Drosophila melanogaster: one gene and its partners. The protein of the gene in region 2 interacts with the protein of the main gene of each other region in a pairwise test. Each region holds a gene or a part of one and is shown on either strand. Other genes may lie near its edges.

The links. The genes of interacting proteins can lie anywhere in the genome.
Region 1: the proteins of CG42806 (region 2) and CG12730 interact in a two-hybrid assay, tested with the Drosophila melanogaster proteins (one large-scale study listed by BioGRID).
Region 3: the proteins of CG42806 (region 2) and Obp19d interact in a two-hybrid assay, tested with the Drosophila melanogaster proteins (one large-scale study listed by BioGRID).

What each region holds. Positions count from the first base shown.
Region 1 is NC_004354.4:5,512,607-5,519,271, reverse strand, and holds CG12730 (uncharacterized protein), read right to left. Parts: upstream 2,665-6,665; 5' UTR 1,852-2,664; coding exon 1,774-1,851; exon of another isoform or gene 1,772-1,773; intron 1,701-1,771; coding exon 1,428-1,700; intron 1,229-1,427; coding exon 1,133-1,228; 3' UTR 501-1,132; downstream 1-500.
Region 2 is NT_033778.4:13,960,490-13,967,715, reverse strand, and holds CG42806 (uncharacterized protein), read right to left. Parts: upstream 3,064-7,226; 5' UTR 2,798-3,063; coding exon 2,531-2,797; 3' UTR 2,261-2,530; downstream 1-2,260. Other genes in the region: CtsL1 (cathepsin L1), read right to left, coding at 1-686, 747-961, 5,380-5,496, 6,451-6,522.
Region 3 is NC_004354.4:20,415,515-20,421,479, reverse strand, and holds Obp19d (Odorant-binding protein 19d), read right to left. Parts: upstream 1,868-5,965; 5' UTR 1,343-1,867; coding exon 1,195-1,342; intron 1,065-1,194; coding exon 976-1,064; intron 904-975; coding exon 767-903; intron 703-766; coding exon 624-702; 3' UTR 501-623; downstream 1-500. Other genes in the region: Obp19c (Odorant-binding protein 19c), read left to right, coding at 2,715-3,029, 3,096-3,308; Obp19b (Odorant-binding protein 19b), read right to left, coding at 3,809-3,893, 4,264-4,486, 4,552-4,735; Obp19a (Odorant-binding protein 19a), read right to left, coding at 5,136-5,339, 5,415-5,582, 5,643-5,711.

The DNA.
Region 1 (6,665 bases), on a different chromosome or scaffold from region 2:
GCCCCCAAAAACAACACAAACAATAGACGAGCCAAGTGCTTTTTTGTGGGCGTTGGGTGCTGCTTGTTGGGTGATGATGGTTGTTGCGTTTGTGGGTGGTTCAAAAGATTTGAAAAGCCAACAATGGCAACAGCTTACAGAGCACCGAAACCAAAACGAAAACGAAACAAGAAGCAAAATCAGACAGGGGGGCACCATAGTGTACCTGTTTATTTTCAGTTTCAATGCGGATAAGGTAAACAAAGGTTGGCGATATCTTTTTCATGGAGCGCCGGTTGCAAAAATTCTATCCGGCAATGTTAGGTGAAAATAGCTTGTTGTGCAAGCAAACATGGTCGCAAAAGTAGTTCGTGTAGTAAAATAAATAAACAATAGCCTCGGGAAAGTGGCCTTTTGCGTAAATGAATCAATAACAATATGCACGATCAACAATTGACATTCAAGCCCAATTTACGCATATGAACTCTCATCATTAAAAAACACCCTTCATTTACAAATTACATTTATGTATTTTTGTTTTATTCTTCCATTGCAAACGATTTATTTGTTTATAAATACAACAATTCAGTGGTCATGAAAAGCATTGTGCTAAAAACTAACTACTTCAATGTATATTCACTTGAGACACACAAATACTATGTACTTAATAAAAGTAAAAAAAAAATCGGGTATATATATGTACATATATATTCACGCATTGTTAACCAGTTATCAGAAGAAGGGAAGAAGCAGAGCCAGAAGGCACAATACAACTTATCTCTTTGGAATTTGCTCTCTTGTTAGTGGTTTTCTCTCGCTTTCTGTTCGCTATTATATCTACGTTATTGCTGCGATCGACTGGCTTTATCTTCTTCACTTCTTGACCTATATCTAGCGACTATTAGATAACACATACGGTAACTGTTCCCGCGACAAAAGCTTGCCACAATTTCAAACTTCAGACTTAAATGCTTCAAGCAAACGCAAGCGATACTCGCTCTCTCAAAACAAACTCACACACACGCGCACGCACTGGCACTCACACAGATACTCGTTCGCACACAGATACTCGCTCTCACACAGATACACACACAGAGTAAGCCTAACGTAGTAAGAGCCACCAAAAGCTGGGTTCGTGCACCTGAAACCAAGTCTATATCGTTTGGGTGGCCACCTCCCGCTGGCGACTGCGCCGATAGTTTCCATAGGCCTCCAGTCCGTTGATGCAAAATGCTGTCAGGCCAAAGAACTGTAAAAAAAAAGGTGAAGAATAGGGTGTATTAGACGGATCTACAGAGAGTTCATCACAGCGAGGGAATGAATCGGCTCCAACTGGAGGCTCAGTGTTTCGTTTACCAGTATCTTTCCTAGCTTAATCATTAGCCGAAACAATGAGCCGTAATACTTTTGGTTTCCGAACTTATCCTAACTGCGAGAACGCCACTTACCGCCGCCGCCGTATAGGCTCCAATATCCAGGGAGAGTACGAGTCCGGAGGCCGTGAAGTAGGCCAGGGCCAATGAGGAGTGCACCGCCAGGGACCAGAGCGTGGGATCGCATCGGCAGAACTGGCGCTGCCACAACCGGAGATACCTGGCCAGGAGCAGGCAGCCGGTGGCCACGAATCCGATGGTGACTACGGCCAGGTAGAAACTGCCGCGGAAATTGCTCACGCGCACCGGTCCGCAGATGATGCACAATATTCCAACAAAGCTGCACAGCTGAAAGACGCACACATACAAGCGCACACATTAAGGGCGATACACAATGGCACATATGTGTAAGGCTAATTACCAAACAGGCCAGCTTGCACAGGCCCGGCATGCTGAGCAGGTATTTGCGATCGTAGTCCTGGGTTCCCGTCAACGACATCGCGGCCAATACAAGATATATACGTTTTGGATGCAGTTAATCCAGATTGTCCAGCCGAATAGATGCCTCAGAAACGAGCGATTAAAGCCAATGTAGCAAATGTAGCGAAGCGCCGCTGACTAATTCATATTGCGCTCGCCAGCACGCACAGAATGCCACTGAAGTAATACAAACAACACAAATACTCAGAATTCTCCCATCGTTACACTCGGCGAATAAAACTACAATTGCGAGAGCGAGAGAAGCAGCGGGCGAAAGAGAGAGAGAGAGAGAGAGAGAGAGAGAGAGACAGAGAGCGAGCAACACATGGCACAGTGGGACGAAACGATCAGGAAATGTAGTACATATTGTGTACAAATTGTGTTATCTACTCAAATGGTATCTAATGAAACTATAAATATTAAGGAGATTAGCTTTAGCTGGGTATTTATAAAAAATAGGATTATTAGTTTAAGAAAGCTGTAATTTCCAATAAATGAATAAACCATATTAACTTGTCTTACTAACTGTAGTTTTGGGGGTCTGTTCATTGTGAATGCTTCTTCGTTACATTATACTAATTTTCGTTCGGGGGATGTCAAGGGGTGAATCTAACACGGTGTGACTCACTGACCTCCAGGGATATATTAAATATATGTATATTCATAAGGCAAGGTGACCGGTTACTGGGTGAGCAAAGCTTTTTTAGTCGTGTGAAGTGCCGAGCTTTTATGACTGGCATTGCTTGTGACATGCAGTTTGAGGTTGGGCCCTTTTTGGACCACTGTGCATTCGAATTTCCATCTGTATCTTAATGCCCAGCATCATTAGATTGTGCCATTCGAATCGTATTTGTTATCGGCTATGACCGAAACGCTTCTCGTTATTTTAATCGGCACAGCAGGCTAATTGATTTAGTTACTTAACGGATAAATCGCTGCACAAATCCGAATGCGAATGCAAATGCGAGCCTCCCAAAATCAAATGCAATTTCGTCGTGATTCACATTGCAAAACACAAGCTGCCCAGCACATATCATACGGAATACGTGAATATACACAAACCATTTGGTGGCCAGATAAGTTTGACGAACTTTGAACACACTACTCCATACAAAAGAAAAAAATTTTATGATACAAAGCTACAAAGATATTACAGATACAATTTTTTCATTCATTTAATTTTGATTTCTCGCTACTCATGTACTATTTTCCACATTCAATTGTTAAAGTTCTTGAAAATGCATAGATACTTGTATAGGGTAGCAGTCGAAACACTCTGGCCCGACATCAAATTGAGTTATATTAATTGACTCATATTCATGAGAGGTGGCTCGTTTACGAAATGGCCGCATGGGTGGCCCCCGCCTCCTGGCCAAGGTCACTTGCACAATCGCCTCGACTGACTGAGATTCAGAGACATTCACAGTTTCACAGATTCACATATTCTAATGCAGAGCGGAAAATGCTGAGTGAGATATCTATGCGACGGAAATCGGCCACAACAAGCGGAAATGAGCACGAAAATCATAAATGAACTGCACTTGAGCAATTTAAGCGATAAAGTGCAGTTTCCATTTCGAGGGTAACAAACAGTCAGACGACTGCAGGGCAACTAATGTCTACATGATTTCTAAAAGCTCATGCATATATATGTATAAACATATATATATACATAAATATGGGAGGCACGAGATTTGCGCTCATCGATAAGCATCGAATCGTCTGGACAAGCGGGGAAAATGTGCGGCGGAAAAGCGAAGAAAATTGACTGGAGAGCGGATTTACACTTGAGGGCGTGCGAGTCTCAATGGCAAAAAGCTATGATTACCTATGGACATTTCTTTGATTTCTTTAGGACTTTGAATTCGATAAGTGCACAGAGGACTTTATAAATGTGCGCTTTAAACCACTGAATAACAGCAAAAGCATCTAAATAGTTTTTAACTAAATATCCAACTTATACTCAGTGGCACGTTGCTGAGAGTGCATTGTTTAGTGATATATCTCGCCTACGATTCATGCACATGGCTGGTTTTTCGCTTACGCACTCAGGCAATTTCCATCGCTTTTCCACCCATGTTGTAGAGCAGCGGAGAGAGAGGGGGGCGGGGCCGGGGGGAATTGGAAAATGTGGGTGCATCTAATTAGAAAAGCATTCGCTGTAATTGCCAGCTGCTGCATCAGCAAGATTTTGTTTGCTTTGGCGACGGGATAACGTGGAGCAGGACCAAAGGCAAAGCGACATGTGAGCTATTAAGCAGTGTTCTGGCTGAAAAAATCCAGTTTCAGATGCATCAGAAGCATCTTTAATAATGACAAACTTGGCGATAACTATGACCAATTAAACGAAAGTTGGAGTAAACGTTTGCGAGCAGGCAGATAATTAGTTTCAGGCACTTTGAAGGAAGTTCGAAAGAAAGCGGCAAGTTGGGCCGTAGCCATTTCTCAACCTCGACAAAGAAGTGTGCCAGCTGGGTATCTGTCAGATACAGATACTAAGTTGCCCAGATACACGGCTCGATTTGAATGCAAATTTCGTGCAGTGGCTGTCAGACTCTGCAGCTGACGTGACAAGACCAAGACCACCCCCCCTAATTTCGAATCCCGAAATACCCCAAAAATAGCAACGACCTCAGCATATCTGCCAAGTGAATTTGAATCTGATATTCCCTTCGACTTTGGGCGCTTTTTATCCGCCAGCTGACAACCACCCCCATTTCCCCCCTCGGATTTTCCAGCTTTTTCCCCCCCGGGGAACAGAACATTTATGCGCCTTATAAATGATTATCGTGTGCACTCAAGTGCCAACGTCATCAATCAAATGGGCCAAGTGCAACAGGATGTCCTTGCCGCCATTCTTTAAATATCCTTTATTTGCTATCTGTATCTCTTTGTCTGGAGGCTCATCTCATATTCGCGAGCTTACTGTCATCTCAGTTGTGGTGCATGGAGCTGCTGTTCTTCGACAGCTTTCAATGATGTTGTAAACGAATTTACTTGAAATGAAAATATTATTTAAAGCCCGAAGCATAACTAGATTCGAAGGGCATTAAGCTTTCGCTGGTGGTACTTTCACTTTAAGTTCGGTTTCTGCGGGTAATTTATGCTAATGAATTGCCAATCAATCCGTCAATCAATCAACGAAAATACATTTTCCTATAGACCTCATTAATGACCTCCTACGAGTATATGGAAAAGAAAAAAAAAATTGGTTGAGTCTCAAATCAATTTAATTGGCATTTCATTGGCCCGTTTCCCCCGAATTGTACACACTTTTCACAAGCTCCCTGCGATTTTTCCACTTCATTTTCAGTATCTGCTCTTCGCTGAATTCAGCTGCCGCTGCACATTTTAAAGCAATTTCCTTCGCGTGATTTTTGATCAATTCACTTGGCCAGGTGGTCCAGGGAAACAGAGGAACACCGAACTCGATTTGCCACGATTTACGACTCCGTACTTGCCACTTATGTAAACGCTTCGCTCTGCTGGCGCTGCTCTGAAAAGTTGTCTGCCATTACGGAAAAGCCAGTTACAGGTGCAGGGGTCCCGAGTCGCTGGCACCCCAATTGTTTTCCTCTATATTTTTTTCTGATTTTTTTTTTGTTTTTTTGCATTTCGATGTCGGCAAATTCGAATTGAAAGCGTGCCAAGGAAAAGCCACAGTCAATGTGCCGAGGAAATTGGATTGGCACGTAGACCAATGACCACGTAGTCAAAAAGCCAAAGGAAATTTACGTTTGCATACGGTATCGGTGATAACTCAAGTACATGTTTGGTAAATAATATATATGCACTCGATATGGCAACCGAGTGTGTGCATTCGGTTAACAAAAGGCGAGGCCATCTTCAGTTCAGCTCGGTTGGCTGGATCCTAATTGTGGTTTCGATTCTCGGAAATACGAGTGGGCCAAATAAAGGTACACCTTGCCCTTTCTATATTATTTTCAGTATCAATTAAATTGATGTGACAAATAATGAATAAGTATGCTCGTTTTGTGCGCGTGGCATTGCAATGCATTGGAAATGCACCAATTAAGAGCCTGAAAGTATGCTACGAAATATTGCGCATCACATGGAAATGAGAACTTTTCTGGCTTCAATAAACAAGCAAGTTTTCTTTCGCTTGTAACCGATGCAAATTAGACATCATTTGGGAATAAGTTATTTTTAATCAAACACTGCACCATCTTTCACTCCCTATCGCATTTTCCCTTTCCTCCAATGGCAATGCAATTACGCAATTTATGAAATTACGACAGCACAAGTGACTTTAGCAACAATTTTCGATCTATCTAAGAGCAGCGCACACAAAGACATCACATATCGCACACACACACACACACACACACATGCGGGGTGAGAGGAAATTGCTACTTACACACATATATGTACATACATAGATGCGGATTCGCATGCACATATCTATGGCACCCAAGGCAACAAGCGGGAAAAATGGAAATCCGAGCTGATGATTGGCCACACCCGCACGCACACACAAGCGCACACAAGGCACACACATGCACACAGCAGCCCGCTGCATATTACATAGATATATAATAATAATAATCAAATTATCAGTTAGCAGTTGCCAACTGGCTGCCTTCCCTTTTCGCCGCGGGCCCAAACTAACGAGGTGCCCTGATCAAATCACAAACGACATTAAGAGTTTTCAATTTGCCGCTGCGCACACAGATACTCGTAGTCCTAGAAAAACGAGCAGATTTTCCAGAACGGATGCGATGAAAATTTGTGCCTCAAGTGTTGGCAAATGCGTGAGTGTTTCGCATTATGCGCAGTATAATTATGATTAAATTGCAAACGCAAAATGCAACT
Region 2 (7,226 bases):
TAGCGATGCCGCACTGGTTCTCCTTGTTGCGCAGCATCTTGATGAAGCCCTTGTCGCCCCAGGTGGTGCCCCACGAGTTCTTCACCAGCCAGTAATCCTCGCCGGACTCGTCGGTGCCGAAGCCAACGACCAGCACACCGTGATCCAGATTCTGGGCATCACACTGCGGCTCGTTGTAGACGCCCTCCGAGTAGAACTGGAACGACTCGTGGGAGGCATCGATGGCGACGGAAACGGGACCAACGGTGGCCACAGCCTCGGCCATCTTCTTCTCATCACCCTGGGGAATATCGGTGAATCCACGATCGGTGGCTCCGACTGTGCCCTTGTTAAAGTGGCACGAGTCATCGATGGCCTCGTAGGGATAGGACTTCTCGGTATCGATGCCTCCATTATCCTTAATATAGCGGAAGGCATTGTCCATGAGACCGCCGTTGCATCCATTGTTGCCGTACTTGGTGGAGCAATCGACCAGATTCTGCTCGGACAGCGAGACGAGGACACCGGACTTGCGGAAATGCTGACCCTCGAGGGCGCCTGTGCTGGAGAAGGCCCAGCAGCTGCCGCAGTGTCCCTGATCCTTGACGGCGGTCACAGCTCCCTTGGTGCGCCAGTCCACAGATTTGGGCAGCGTCACATGAGCCGGCGAGATGAAGGTGACTCCCTTGAAGCTTTCATCGGCGGCACTGAAAGCGAATGCAAAGTTGAATATGTGCACATTATAATCCTTAACGATCCCAACTTACCGCAGTTGCTTGTGCAGAGTGTAGTTGAAGCCGTTCATCAGCTGACGGAATTCGTGGTGCAGCAAATCGGCGTACTTATTGACCGCCAGTTTGAAGCTCACCTTGCCCTCGGCGAATCGCTGGTTGTGCTTGGCAATCTTGTGCTTGTTCTCATTGAAGATCTTGAGGCGGAAACGCTCCTCGGTTTCATCCTGATAGTTCTTGCGGTGCTCCAGCTGCATAATGAAAAGTATTAGTATTAGTTAGATAATGCACTCTTATCAAAGGTAAGTGCTACTATCGATTGACTTTCGTGTACTTGTTTCAAGATAAGATAAAGCCAACCAAATGAAAAGTTAACTTTTTAGACGCATTTTTGGGAACTCTATTAAAAATCAAATAAAATGTTTTACGTAAAATGGATTTACGATCGCTGAGGCAAAAGTTCTTAATCTGCAGATTACACCTTATCACAGCGCCGTCAACCTGGCACGAGCGAAACGCTCTAGAGGAACGGCCACAGTAGCAAGCTCTATAAATCTATAAAACATGGTCATAAAATTGTGTTTAACGATTGCCCAACGACAGGAACTTGAAACGGGTGTTAATGTTCCAGGTAGTAAACAAACGAGCCAAACTGCAGGTAGGAATAGGAGAAGCGAGGCCAGCACGAGGAAATGCGCTCCATCTGCCTGCAGTGGTCCCGTGGATAAGAGACCTCCTCTCCCAGCTCGGGGTTGTTTGTTAGTCCGACCCGCATATTGACACAGCCACAGCACGAAAATAGCACGAACGCTAAACAAATGATAGCTATAAAGGGAATTGAAAGGCCAGGGCAAGAAGTCGACTAGGTTGCTATCCATTAGATTCGGCAAATGCCACTATATGGGGGTAGTTTTCGATTCAAAGTGAAATTTGTGAATAAAAATTGACTTCCTCTTGTCTGAATACCAAATTAGCGGCTTTGCATAGAATCGAAAAGTTTATGAAAGTTAAGTTAAGTATATAGAATTATTCAACAAAACTCATTATTACTGCTCACGAATATCCAAATAGCAAACATGCTAAACTGAAATGCATTTTCCAAAAGTGTTTATTGCTAAACTGGTTATTTTTTTGCGACTCTTCAACGCACTCAAAGTGGCATGTTTTCTCAGTGAAATATGGGTATAAACCCAAACCTAATCGCTTTTTAAGTGGCTCACCACAAGTCTTAGTAGATTTTGCAATATTCCAGGGTACTTGGCACATTGAACTGAACAGTCGAGTGGCGCTGTCATGTGAGAAACATGCATGTGTAATTACTTTTGGACATCAAAGCGGACCAGCATCAGCAATTGTCGCCCCAAATGGACCGGATGGGGTCCACTGGTCCGTGGTTGACTCCTATAATTGACATAATTGAATCGAATTCGAGTCTTGCAGCAAAATGAAACCCCGCCCGTTGTGATTTCGAGGGAGGAGGTGGTAACGGCAGAAAAGAGGCGCCTCCCGGCACACTGACCTATTGATTTTCCTTGCAAACGTCGTTGGTTCTCGTTGCCGCATGATAAAATTCACACATTTATTGTATACTTTTGTAGAAAATTTGAATTTGCGATATATGCAGATAGAGTTAACAACTTAAAAACACCGTAATTAAATGCACGTGCGATCCGATGTGATATCCAGGCACTCGACGTATACGTTTTGTATCTATCAATCTAGATATACTACATATGTGGCTTAGGAAACTTCGTTGCAGTTGAGAAGCTTGGACGATAGTAGTTGAGTATCAGAGAGCTTAGCTAGTGCGATCTCCATCCCTACAGTCGCTCCATCTCGATGGCACAGCTATCGTCCTCCTGATCCGCATCCGCATGCCGTTCCGTTGTCGAAGTGGCCGCATAGGAGGAATGTGGAACAGGTTGTTGTTGTTGCTGCAGCTCCTCCTCCTGGCATTTGTATTCCCGCCGCTTGCGCATAATGTAGGCGAAAACGAAGCCATTTATGACCAGCATGGCCAGGACAATTATCGTCGGCCAGACCACATCCACCGATACATCCAAATTATTTGCACTGGTATCGGTCATTCTTATGCTGTGATTGCTCCTCCGTGGTTTTTATGTAATTTATTTGCTATTACCGCCCGTCTCCCTGCGATTTCGTAGCACGTTTTTTACGATGACGCGCGTGCTTTTCCGTACTTCTACTACCACCGCTGGGGGCCCCGTCTGACTTGGCTCCTTTTATTTCTTTTCTCTCAAATGTTCTATATATTGCGCTCTGCACTGCTGCTGCTACTGCCTGCCGCTGGCTGCTCGAGCGTTCCGTTGGCGTGGAGCGTCGGTTCGGGAATAACAAAAATACGACAGAGCTGGCTGCTTCGCTTTTGGTGGTGGTGGTGGTGATGGTGGTGGTCCGCTCGCAAACGCAAACTCAATCGCATGACGGCGGGGCGAAAAAGAGCCGAGTTCACACACGCACACAACACACTCTACACTCTTTCTTCGTATCGCCGAAATCGAAATGAGAGCCCAATCTACGTAGGCCAACCAATTTGGAGGATGGCAGGCGGGCGTACTCTATATATTTCTTGTTTCTTATGCTTTTTCGTATATTTCCTTCTGTTTTGCAGCGCGCGCATTGTGGGTTTGCTCAAAAAGGCGAACCGGTTTCATTTTGATTTATAAGGATTTCAGGCGAGCTATTCAAATATGTTTGCTCCAACCGGTTAGCAGAAGTAACAGATTTAAAAAAAAACGAAAAAAAAAACAGAAACTTATGTATCTTTAATAAAAAATGTAAGAAAAGAGCCGCATGCTGCTTTTGCAAGTCAGCGAAATTTTTCCCAGCTTGTTTATTTACGGCAGCCGATTTGTTTGTGCACTTGTCACTCGGGGAATTAATGCTAGAAATCTCTTTCGGCTCTCGGAAATGCCAGCGAAAAATGGCAATTTGATAAGCAACGCCGATTTGTAGCGCGTCATTTCCAAAATGCTCGCGGCCCCCCGCACGACTTGTTCTTAAATATTGTTGTTGAATATTTGCCGAACTATGCGAATAGCTGCTTAAATTAAAACGCATTAATCTGGAATTTTAGAGCTTATCAGTGCCACAGTTGCTCAACGCTGACTTTTGCAGCTGTGCATTTGCAACCGACAACTGTGGCACTTTGGACTGCACACACATTACAGATAATGTCGTTTTTATTAACTAACTATAAGCAGTGAGAGCTAATGGTTGGCATCGTTATCACATTTAAATTGCGCGCCTTTCATTCCCCAAGCAAGCATGGGTAGCACTGTTTGCAGCAGTGTGACCGAGCGTTTGCAGTATTCTACATGACACCTAACGGTCTCGAAATGTAAAATGGCAAATGTAAAGTAATTGTGAGTTTATTTTGAAAAAAAAAAGAAAACTAAATCTAAACTAAATTAGATGATCAAAGAAAATTTAGTTAGGTAAATAATATATGAGTGGGGAAATTGCAAATGTTTAGTTGATTTTCTTTTTATTTTTAATTAAGGATGAGTAACTCTTTCCATAAATATGATTCCTATTCTTTCAGTTGATCAGACTTTGTTATTTATAAACAATAATTTAATACACCACTCTGTGCTTACTCTAACAAATGAGTCACTCAATTGAATATGATATTTAACAGCAGATAAAAAAAGGAAGGGAAATAAAGTTATATGCATATATTGCATATGCGGGTGCATTTGAATTTGAATTCGAAAAGTGAATATAAAACCATCAAAGGCAAAATATCCAAAGTTATTAAACCAATATGCATATATAGAGATGTACATATATCCCCCTTATCACATGAGATCTCTGCACAAACAGCTAATTATTATTTGTACGCCCCCATTTGGGGCTAATGACGCTTGGCACGGAACTATTCAGTAAAATAATGGAAAAAATCACGACCCCTGACTGTTGGCGATAAGAATTAGACGACACTAGGGGCGCATTCAATTAATCAATAGACAATCCACCATTGATAAGCAGACGAAGTTGCAAGTGAAGGCTGCGAGACAAAGGATGATTGGCCCAATCATCAATGGAACCATGGACACACATATATATGCAATAGAAGGGGGCAAAAATCGAAGTCGCATTAGGAAACATGGCTTGCGAAAAGTGTGATGGCAAATATGCGACCCGCGCCTTATCAGTCGGCCGGCAGTGGACCAGTTTGAGTCTTGCACGGCTTATCGGCGGGAAATGAACCGCGAGCGTAGCGAAAGTGGGCGACACAACGACTTGGATTATCTGCCCATCCAGCCGATGTTTACGGATGGGCTAAGCAAAGCAGCCCAGCTTGCCGCTTGCGGTCATGTGAGCCGGCATGTGACTGGACGACAGCCTAGACTTTTGGACTTATCTGAATCCTCCTTCCGTCTCTTTGAGGCAGCCGCGCAGCAGTGCATTCACACTCGCAATGGCTGCTGACTCAGAAGTCAGAAGTGCGGAATCGTCACAAACGGAAGAATGCCGCGCGTCCAACTATGCAAACAAAGTCGGACAGAAGACAAAGGCCCAAAAAAAAAATTAATGGATTAATCATCATTACACATCAAGCCCTTGTTACCGGAGAACACTTGTTATCTGCCTCTTCGGCCTGGCGAATTAAATATGATCCCTAGATGATCCGGTTGAAACTCACCTTGAACGTATGCCATTCCTCCATGACCACGTCGGCGAAGGAAACGGCCTGAGCCACCGCCAGCAGGGCCAAAAGTGGCAGCAAAACAGCTGTGCGCATTGTGATTTGTTCTGGAATCTGCAAGAAATCACACAATTAGTAAGCAAACTAACAATCGGAGTGTCGGTCACGTGAAGCCACTAAACCAGATTGCAAAATATCAGGGCTGGCTCACTAACTTCGAATTAAAGTAAAATACATATTCTAAGCTGCTCGAGCGATAAAGGAAAGTTGTGAATAAAGTCAGTTTCTTGCACTTGTTCATGATTCATACTATTAAATTGTGGTTAATTAGCATAATTTGTGCTATTAAAGTATTAGTTTTATCTTAGCAACTTTGTCATGAGCCTAAGCAATATTTTAATAAATTTCTAACGATCAAAATCACTGCAAAATATTTAATATTTATTGGGTAAAATATGGAATTTATTGCACCAAATTGCAATTTATTGCAAATTTATAATAAAAAAAAGGTTATTAATATTATTTATTTATTTGAGGCTAACTTAATGTATAAAACTATAAGCAATCTGAGATCTAGCAATAGAAGCTTTGTAAATATATTATTTTAATTCTTTATTAAATTCGTAACAGACATGGTTTTGAAAAACTAGTTTTTAAATATATCATTGTAAGCATAGAAAAGAGTGAAAATGAAAGAATAAATAACGGTTCAAATTTGAGAAATTTGATCCTTTAAAGAAGCTTCTCTCGATTTTAGCGTAAAATATTCTCTTTATAGAGACATAAAAATTATTTCTATAAAACTTGACTGATTTGCGGGGCGTTTGTAAATATATTGACATTTGCTTTGTGATAAACAATATAGTTTAATATTTGTTTTTTTTTATTTTTTCGATGGCGATGCGTTATCTTATCGGCCATTCCACTTTGCCTCGCAGCTTCGTATTGCTTTCAAAGTCTGCCATTTTTGCGCGATTTGCTTCACTTATTGTTTTTCTATCATTGTCTTGCTGTTTTTGCGCCCATTTTGAGAAACGTGAGAGGCATTTGATAAAAGTTGTTATTTACCAATTGTGCCCTCTGCGATTTGTGCCTAGTTCGAGGGCGAAAACGGGTTTCAAAAACGCCAAGGTGATTCATCTGGCTATCAGGTGAGTTAAAAACCACAAAGACTAGAAAAATGGGTCAGCACAAAGGGGAATTGGACAAAATCTAAACAAAGAAGCGCAACAGAATCTAAAGCGCAAAGCAAAAGGGGCAATAAAAACGGGCATAGACGAAGATGCCGACTGTTGATTATTGTGGAGTGCAATTAAAGTGTAAATAAGTCGCCACACAGACATGACGCAATTAGATTCAACAAGTCAATACGAAGCAATTAATCGGCATTAATGCAGGGCAGGTATATTTGCGTTCTCAACTCGAAAATAACTAAAAAGACTACATATATTGCTTACCACTCGGAATTGCGTCGCAAGGAATGCAGTAAATTCACTGATTTATCACTGTTGTTGCACTCTTTTTAATTGGCTGAAACAACACTAATGTGCAAGTCAACCGATTGTATTTAACAAGTCGCTCTTGATGATCCAGTCCCAAAGACCTTTCGTTGTTTAATGAAAACCAGCAGAAATTGTTTAAACAAGAAATCTCCGACAGAGTGACCAGTCCGAATCTTCTGGAAATACCAGAAGTTGCCTGAGCAGACGGCTTATCGATAACAGCGTGGGCAGTGATGCAGTTCTTGTGTGTAAAACGGCCAAATTCAGTCGCTAAATCGAAATAATTGGTCAGCCTAAATATATGCAAGAGCTTTTTAGTTTATGTTTATTTAATAATGAGTG
Region 3 (5,965 bases), on a different chromosome or scaffold from region 2:
CTAACTAATAGGTTTAATGACCATAGCCCAAGACCCTGAGAATTCGCCTTGCGTAGACGGACCGCAATCGGAGCCGCCGTCTTCTCGACACGAATTCCCTGGGCTTGGGCAGCATACTATACTAGGAGCCCAAGTTGAGCAAATAGATATTTTTACCGACAGATTGCGTTAAGTCGGCTAAGCTAGGACATATTTAGGGGAGCCGAGAGCGAACGCGCATCCCTGGCTGGGTCCCTTCTCCGCAGGATATCACCTGGAGAAACCCAGGTACGAAGAACATCGTGCATTAATAAATAGTGAGTAAGAATCTTTTAAATATGCCCCAGATTGGGAGATGATATACAAAAAAATGTACTTGTATTTATAATAATAAAGATTGTAATATAATCGTCGAAATTGAGCAAGAATTTTTTATTAGTAAATTATGGGTCCCGAGGAGTCTTGGAGGATAACCACACCCATACGAATCCCCCTTCACAATCCAACAAACAATCAAGCCTGCAGTTTCTCAGTTTATCAAGTACTTAATTCATAGTATACACATAAAAAAAAAAGATGGTTATATTCCAGAAGGGCGCTTGTGATACAGTAACGGGGGGTCGTCATGGGTCTCAAATCTGTTCTCAGTGCTCCTCCAGCTCGAGTCCATGCTCCTTCATTTGCTCGTAAATGCATTCCTCGTAGGCGAAGGCAGCGTCGCAACTGAAAATGGCAGCATGATTATAGTCCGGATTTGAGCCAACAGCTTCCGGCGAGCACTACTCACTGATCCTCGGGTGTCTCGATGGCCTCGCACTTGGCCACCACCTCGGCGGGAGCGTCTTCCTTCTCTGCATCGTGCTTGCTCATGACCTTGACCAACTCGATGGCGTGTTCCTTGTTCAGCTTACCGGATTCATCCATCTGCAATGGGAGGGAGAATGGAATGGGTGGTGGTGAGTGGATCACACTTCCTGCCGGAGCAGCAGCACTCACTATCTGCAGCTTTTTCATCACGCAGGCGCGCAGGCACTTGGCCTCGTGTCTCTCGGGCAGGTCGTGGCTCATCAGCTGCTCCACATCCTCTGTAAGCGATATATCATATGATTGATAATTGCACAATAACTATCCTAACACATCCACCACAGGTAGGAGTGGTACGCTGACAGCTGTATTCCCTACTGAATTTTCTGCACTGATGACCATCTGACTCACCATCGGTGGCTCCCGTCTCAGCCTTGCACTCGTTGGCCAGCTCGGCGGCGTGGTCCCTGTTGATCTCCTCGTGCGGCTTGGCGCTGGTGGCGCCCAGGCAGAGGATGCCCACTAGGAGCAGGACGGTCAGGTGAACCAGATGCGACATTTCGATTTGCGATTGAACTGCGCGACGTGCGAACTCTGACTTGGATGCGAATCGCCGGCAACGTCGGCGTTTTATAGGAGCTATTGCCTAAGCCGAGTCCCGTGATTGATTTGGCAGATCGGATCCATCGCCGATCTCCAGCTGCGTCTCAAGCAGCTCCGGCAATTACGCGCAATTATGAACTACATGGGCAGCACATGGCACATGGCACTCCACTTCACTCCGCCGCTCTGGACGGGATGGGACGGAATCCGGCGGAGATGCCCTCGACTGGGCATCGTGTGAACGAGTGACACCCCGCTGGAACTGCCGCTGCCAGATGAGATGGCCCACCGATCTCCACTTACCTGCTTAATTGGTGACTGGCATGAAATCGCTGCAAATGCCGGGGATATAGAATTGGGAATGGCTATGGCTAGTGGAAATGGAAATGAAAATGCAAAATGCTAAATGCAAAATGAGAGATGAGAAATCCCGCTTGTAATTAAATCGATCAACAGCTCTGGGTGAGATGAGTGATTGTGACTGGCGGGGCCATCGAGCGATTATACAATTATATGGAACTGGGCGAACTGGGAACTGCGGTTGCCGCCTGCCAAATTGGCCGTTTAGGCCATAATATACCCTTCATCTGTCCGCCTATTTCCCAGTTTGCCCGTCAGCCTGCCGACTTTCTGATCATTCCGAGTGCCAACGATCGCTATCTGAGTTCCATCCAGTCAGTCTGTTTGTCCATCCATCGAGTGGAGATTTTAGCACGCAATCTATATTATTGTGGAATCCAATAGATGGAATCGGATTGCATCGTGTGAGCATGTTGCATGCTAATTTTTATTCCAATTGGATTGAGTGGGGCTTACTAGCCCCATTAAGATCTTTAACAGGTCGGAAGTCTGTGTGATCGAGTATTATACATATATGTACATGGTAAATCATCCAACAAATAAGTCCGATTGATAATATATGTATATATCTAAATAATTCGGTTGCGAGCAAATGGCTTACTTTCATTTTAATTAACATTGATATTTTCAAATGTATTATTCCAAAAATGAATATACCTTACAAACCTTGGTACTTTGATAGACCTATCAGGTTTCCAGATTGAAGATCTACATTAATCCGATATTGTCATTGTCTCGAGTGAACTGACACATCGCTGGATAGCGTTGGCGATGTCAAATATCGTCTTTGGAGCGTGACTTGTGCGGGTGACGAACTTGGGTGATGAACTTGGCACTGGAGAAATGCTTGCAATCAGCAAAATCAAGCGACGATGCCATGTGCAGACGACTATGGTGTGAGGTCATGGGTCAGCTTATAAGCCAAGGGGCCAAGCAAGAGCAGAGCCAAAGAGAAAGCAGCTGCCAAGATGAAGCCATCCACTCCAGTCGCAGCCATTCCGCTAATGACGATAGTGGTCGCTGTCCTGCTGCAGACGCACTGCGTCCGTGGCCAGACCCAGGCTTTCGATCTCGCCAAGCTGCTGCCCAAGACCGGAACGGAGCCCATCTGGGCGGTAATCGATCGCAACTTGCCGCAGGTGCAGGAGCTGGTCACCGCGGCCAGGATGGAGTGCATCCAGAAGCTGCAGCTGCCCAGGGACCAGCGACCGCTGGGGAAGGTGACCAATCCAAGTGAGAAGGAGAAGTGCCTGGTGGAGTGCGTGCTCAAGAAGATCAAGTTGGTGAGTAGCCGGACGTTTGTCACAACCAGAACTAAAAGGTCACTAATACTTCTCATTCGCACCCAGATGGACGCCGACAACAAGCTGAACGTTGGCCAGGTGGAGAAGCTGACCAGCCTGGTGACCCAGGACAACAAGATGGCCATCGCCGTTAGCTCCAGCATGGCGCAGGCCTGCAGCCGCGGCATCTCCTCGAAGAACCCCTGCGAGGTGGCCCACCTCTTCAACCAGTGCATCAGTCGCCAGCTGGAGCGCAACAACGTAAAGCTGGTCTGGTAGAGGACATCTCCGCGCCATGGACACCACCACCAACTACCACTTGAGATCTTAACTACGAGTAGAAAGAAGGTGTCTCGCATATTTTGGCCATAATCTTAGCTACAATGATTTCTCAGATAATTTTAACCGAAAATGCACAATCTATTAGGCAATATAATTATATATTAAATACTAGTTATACGATTTTCTAGTACTAGATCAAGTTTTAGTTGCTCACTCGCAATTGATTTGAATAAATCTATATATACAGTAATTTATTTCCCATTTTTGCACAATAAAAAACACAATCTTTCGCAGTTCCAACTACGGGATTACGTACTACATATGTGATTCCCACCCGATAAATATGCATAATTCGTAACTTGTTGGTTGGGCGCTTTATTAGTTTGGGAAACCACTCCAAGTTCTCTAGCTTTGGTAATTAAATCGAACTGAATCACTAACAAAAAAAAAAGGGAGGGAGAACATGCAATGGTGGGCCAGCGAGCAGCTCCATGGCCTCATTCCTTGATCTCGGGAATCTTGAAGCCCGAAGAGCGCATCTCGCGCAGCATGCACATAGCGATCCCGTGGGCTGCCTCGCACCTGAAAAAAAACCAAAAACAAATAAGATCCTTTTCAGAAATACTTTAAAAATATTTCAAACAATTTTTAAAGCTTTTGGGAGCACAGTTGCCTGGCCACCTATAAAAGGTATTCCAAAATATTGAAACTCTCTTCCTGAGAAGAAGTGTACGAAAAGGTTCTTCAAAACACACGGCAACTTAAACTCCTGGCACTTATCTTTTCTTTCGAATACAGCAGAATATTTTCGAAATGCAGCAAGACTGAAAAATTCGCCTTAGAACCGTTTCAAGTTTTTGCTTTGAAGTAAATTCACTCCGCATCTGGAATACACTTCGCTGGACTAACAATTACTAGACACTAGGGTCCTCCATTGCCCCACCACACTCACTTGTCCTGCTCGGCCTTTAGCTCCTCGTTGCAGGTCTTGACGATGCGCCTGCCGTCGTCCTCGCGATCCGGGAACATCATGTTGATCATATCGACCGTCTTGTCCTCGTTATACTGCAACTGATCCTCGGGCATCAGCTCGAACTGCTCCAGCATGCAGTGGCGGAAGCACTTGGTCTCGTGCTTGGCGTCCTCCTTGTTCAGCACCATCTCGACGATGTTCTCTGCGGATATGGTATGTTATGGAATGGTATGGTAGGATGGGTGAGTAACCCAACGGTGCACTTACCCCTCGACGGCTTTGGCGTGCAGGCGTCGCCAAAGGGCTCGATCAGCTCCACCACCTCGTCCACGGTCATGGACCCCTCCTCCTCGTCCGCCGTCGCCGATCCCATCAGCACGGCGGCGCAGGCCACTGCTAGCAGAAGGTTCGTCATCTTCAACGTCGTCGTCATTCGGCTGCACTGCATCATTTTTGCTCTTCTTGTGAATAGTGGACGGACAGCAATCGGCGCCGGGCAATTTATACCCGCCGCAATCGTGTCCAGCACATCCGGTACAAGCAAATCGCCTCGGATGTAGATCAACCGGCGATAGCCATGACATTGCTGGGGCGGATCATGCAAGCCCCACCACAACCACAGCCAACCACCCATTCGTCCATCCATCGCAGCCCAGTTAAAATACAGCACAGATGACGGGGCCCTCCGGCTAGCTTTTATTGATCATCTGGTCAGGGGATTGGGCTTGGGTGTGGGTTTAGGATTGCGGACAAGAGATATACATATCTACTTTATTTGCTGCGGAGTCACCTGTTCCGAATGCCAAAGTGTGACGCATCTGGTATCGCATTGGCAGCCTCGGATGGAAAGCCTAGGGAAACACGAATACCTTGATGTTGTTCTTCAGGCAGCTGAGCAGGGCGTGGGCGGGATCGCAGTTGGGGGCGTTCTTCAGGCCGACGGTGGAGTCCTTGCACAGATTGATGCCCTTGCGGTACTCGTCCTTGTAGCTGTCCGGCAGCATGATGTCCATCTGCTTGAGGGTCGACTCCAGCTGGAACTTTCCCTTCTTGATCTAAGCAGGAGCAGAGCGGAAAGAAGGAGCTGATAATGTAACCAACACAGCCGATGGAAACTTCTTAATACGTACTGCCTGCATCATTTCCAGGATGCAATTGATGTAGCAGTTGGTGTCCTTGCTATTGGGTATGTCACCGTTGCGAATGTTGTCGGCCACCTCGACGCTGACCTTCGGATACTTGGGCAGGCAGACGTCGCGCATCAGCTTTCCGGCAGACCACATCTGCTCCTCCGTCACCTGCAAGTGGACAGTATCCATGAGGCATCCTCCGGCAGAGAGAAGAGCTTAAGGACCTACCCCTGCCTCCGACTGGGGGATTGGTCCCAGGGATATGGCGACGCAGACCAGCAGCAGATGGAACTTCATTTCCGAGACGATTTGGCGGATTCCAGACTCCAGACCCATCGGCGACTCCTTTTATACACGGCCCCCGACATGCAAATGACTTCATATTGGTTCGATCGAACCGCTAAGTGGGTGTGGGAATTATGGGTTAGCGCCAATCGCCGCCCCCACTGCCCATTTCCATATCCAAATGGGCGGGCGGTGGGTGGTGTTCCTGGGGCGGATTACTTTCTGGCCGGGCTATAATCTTGCCACGTTAATTGACAGTGTACACA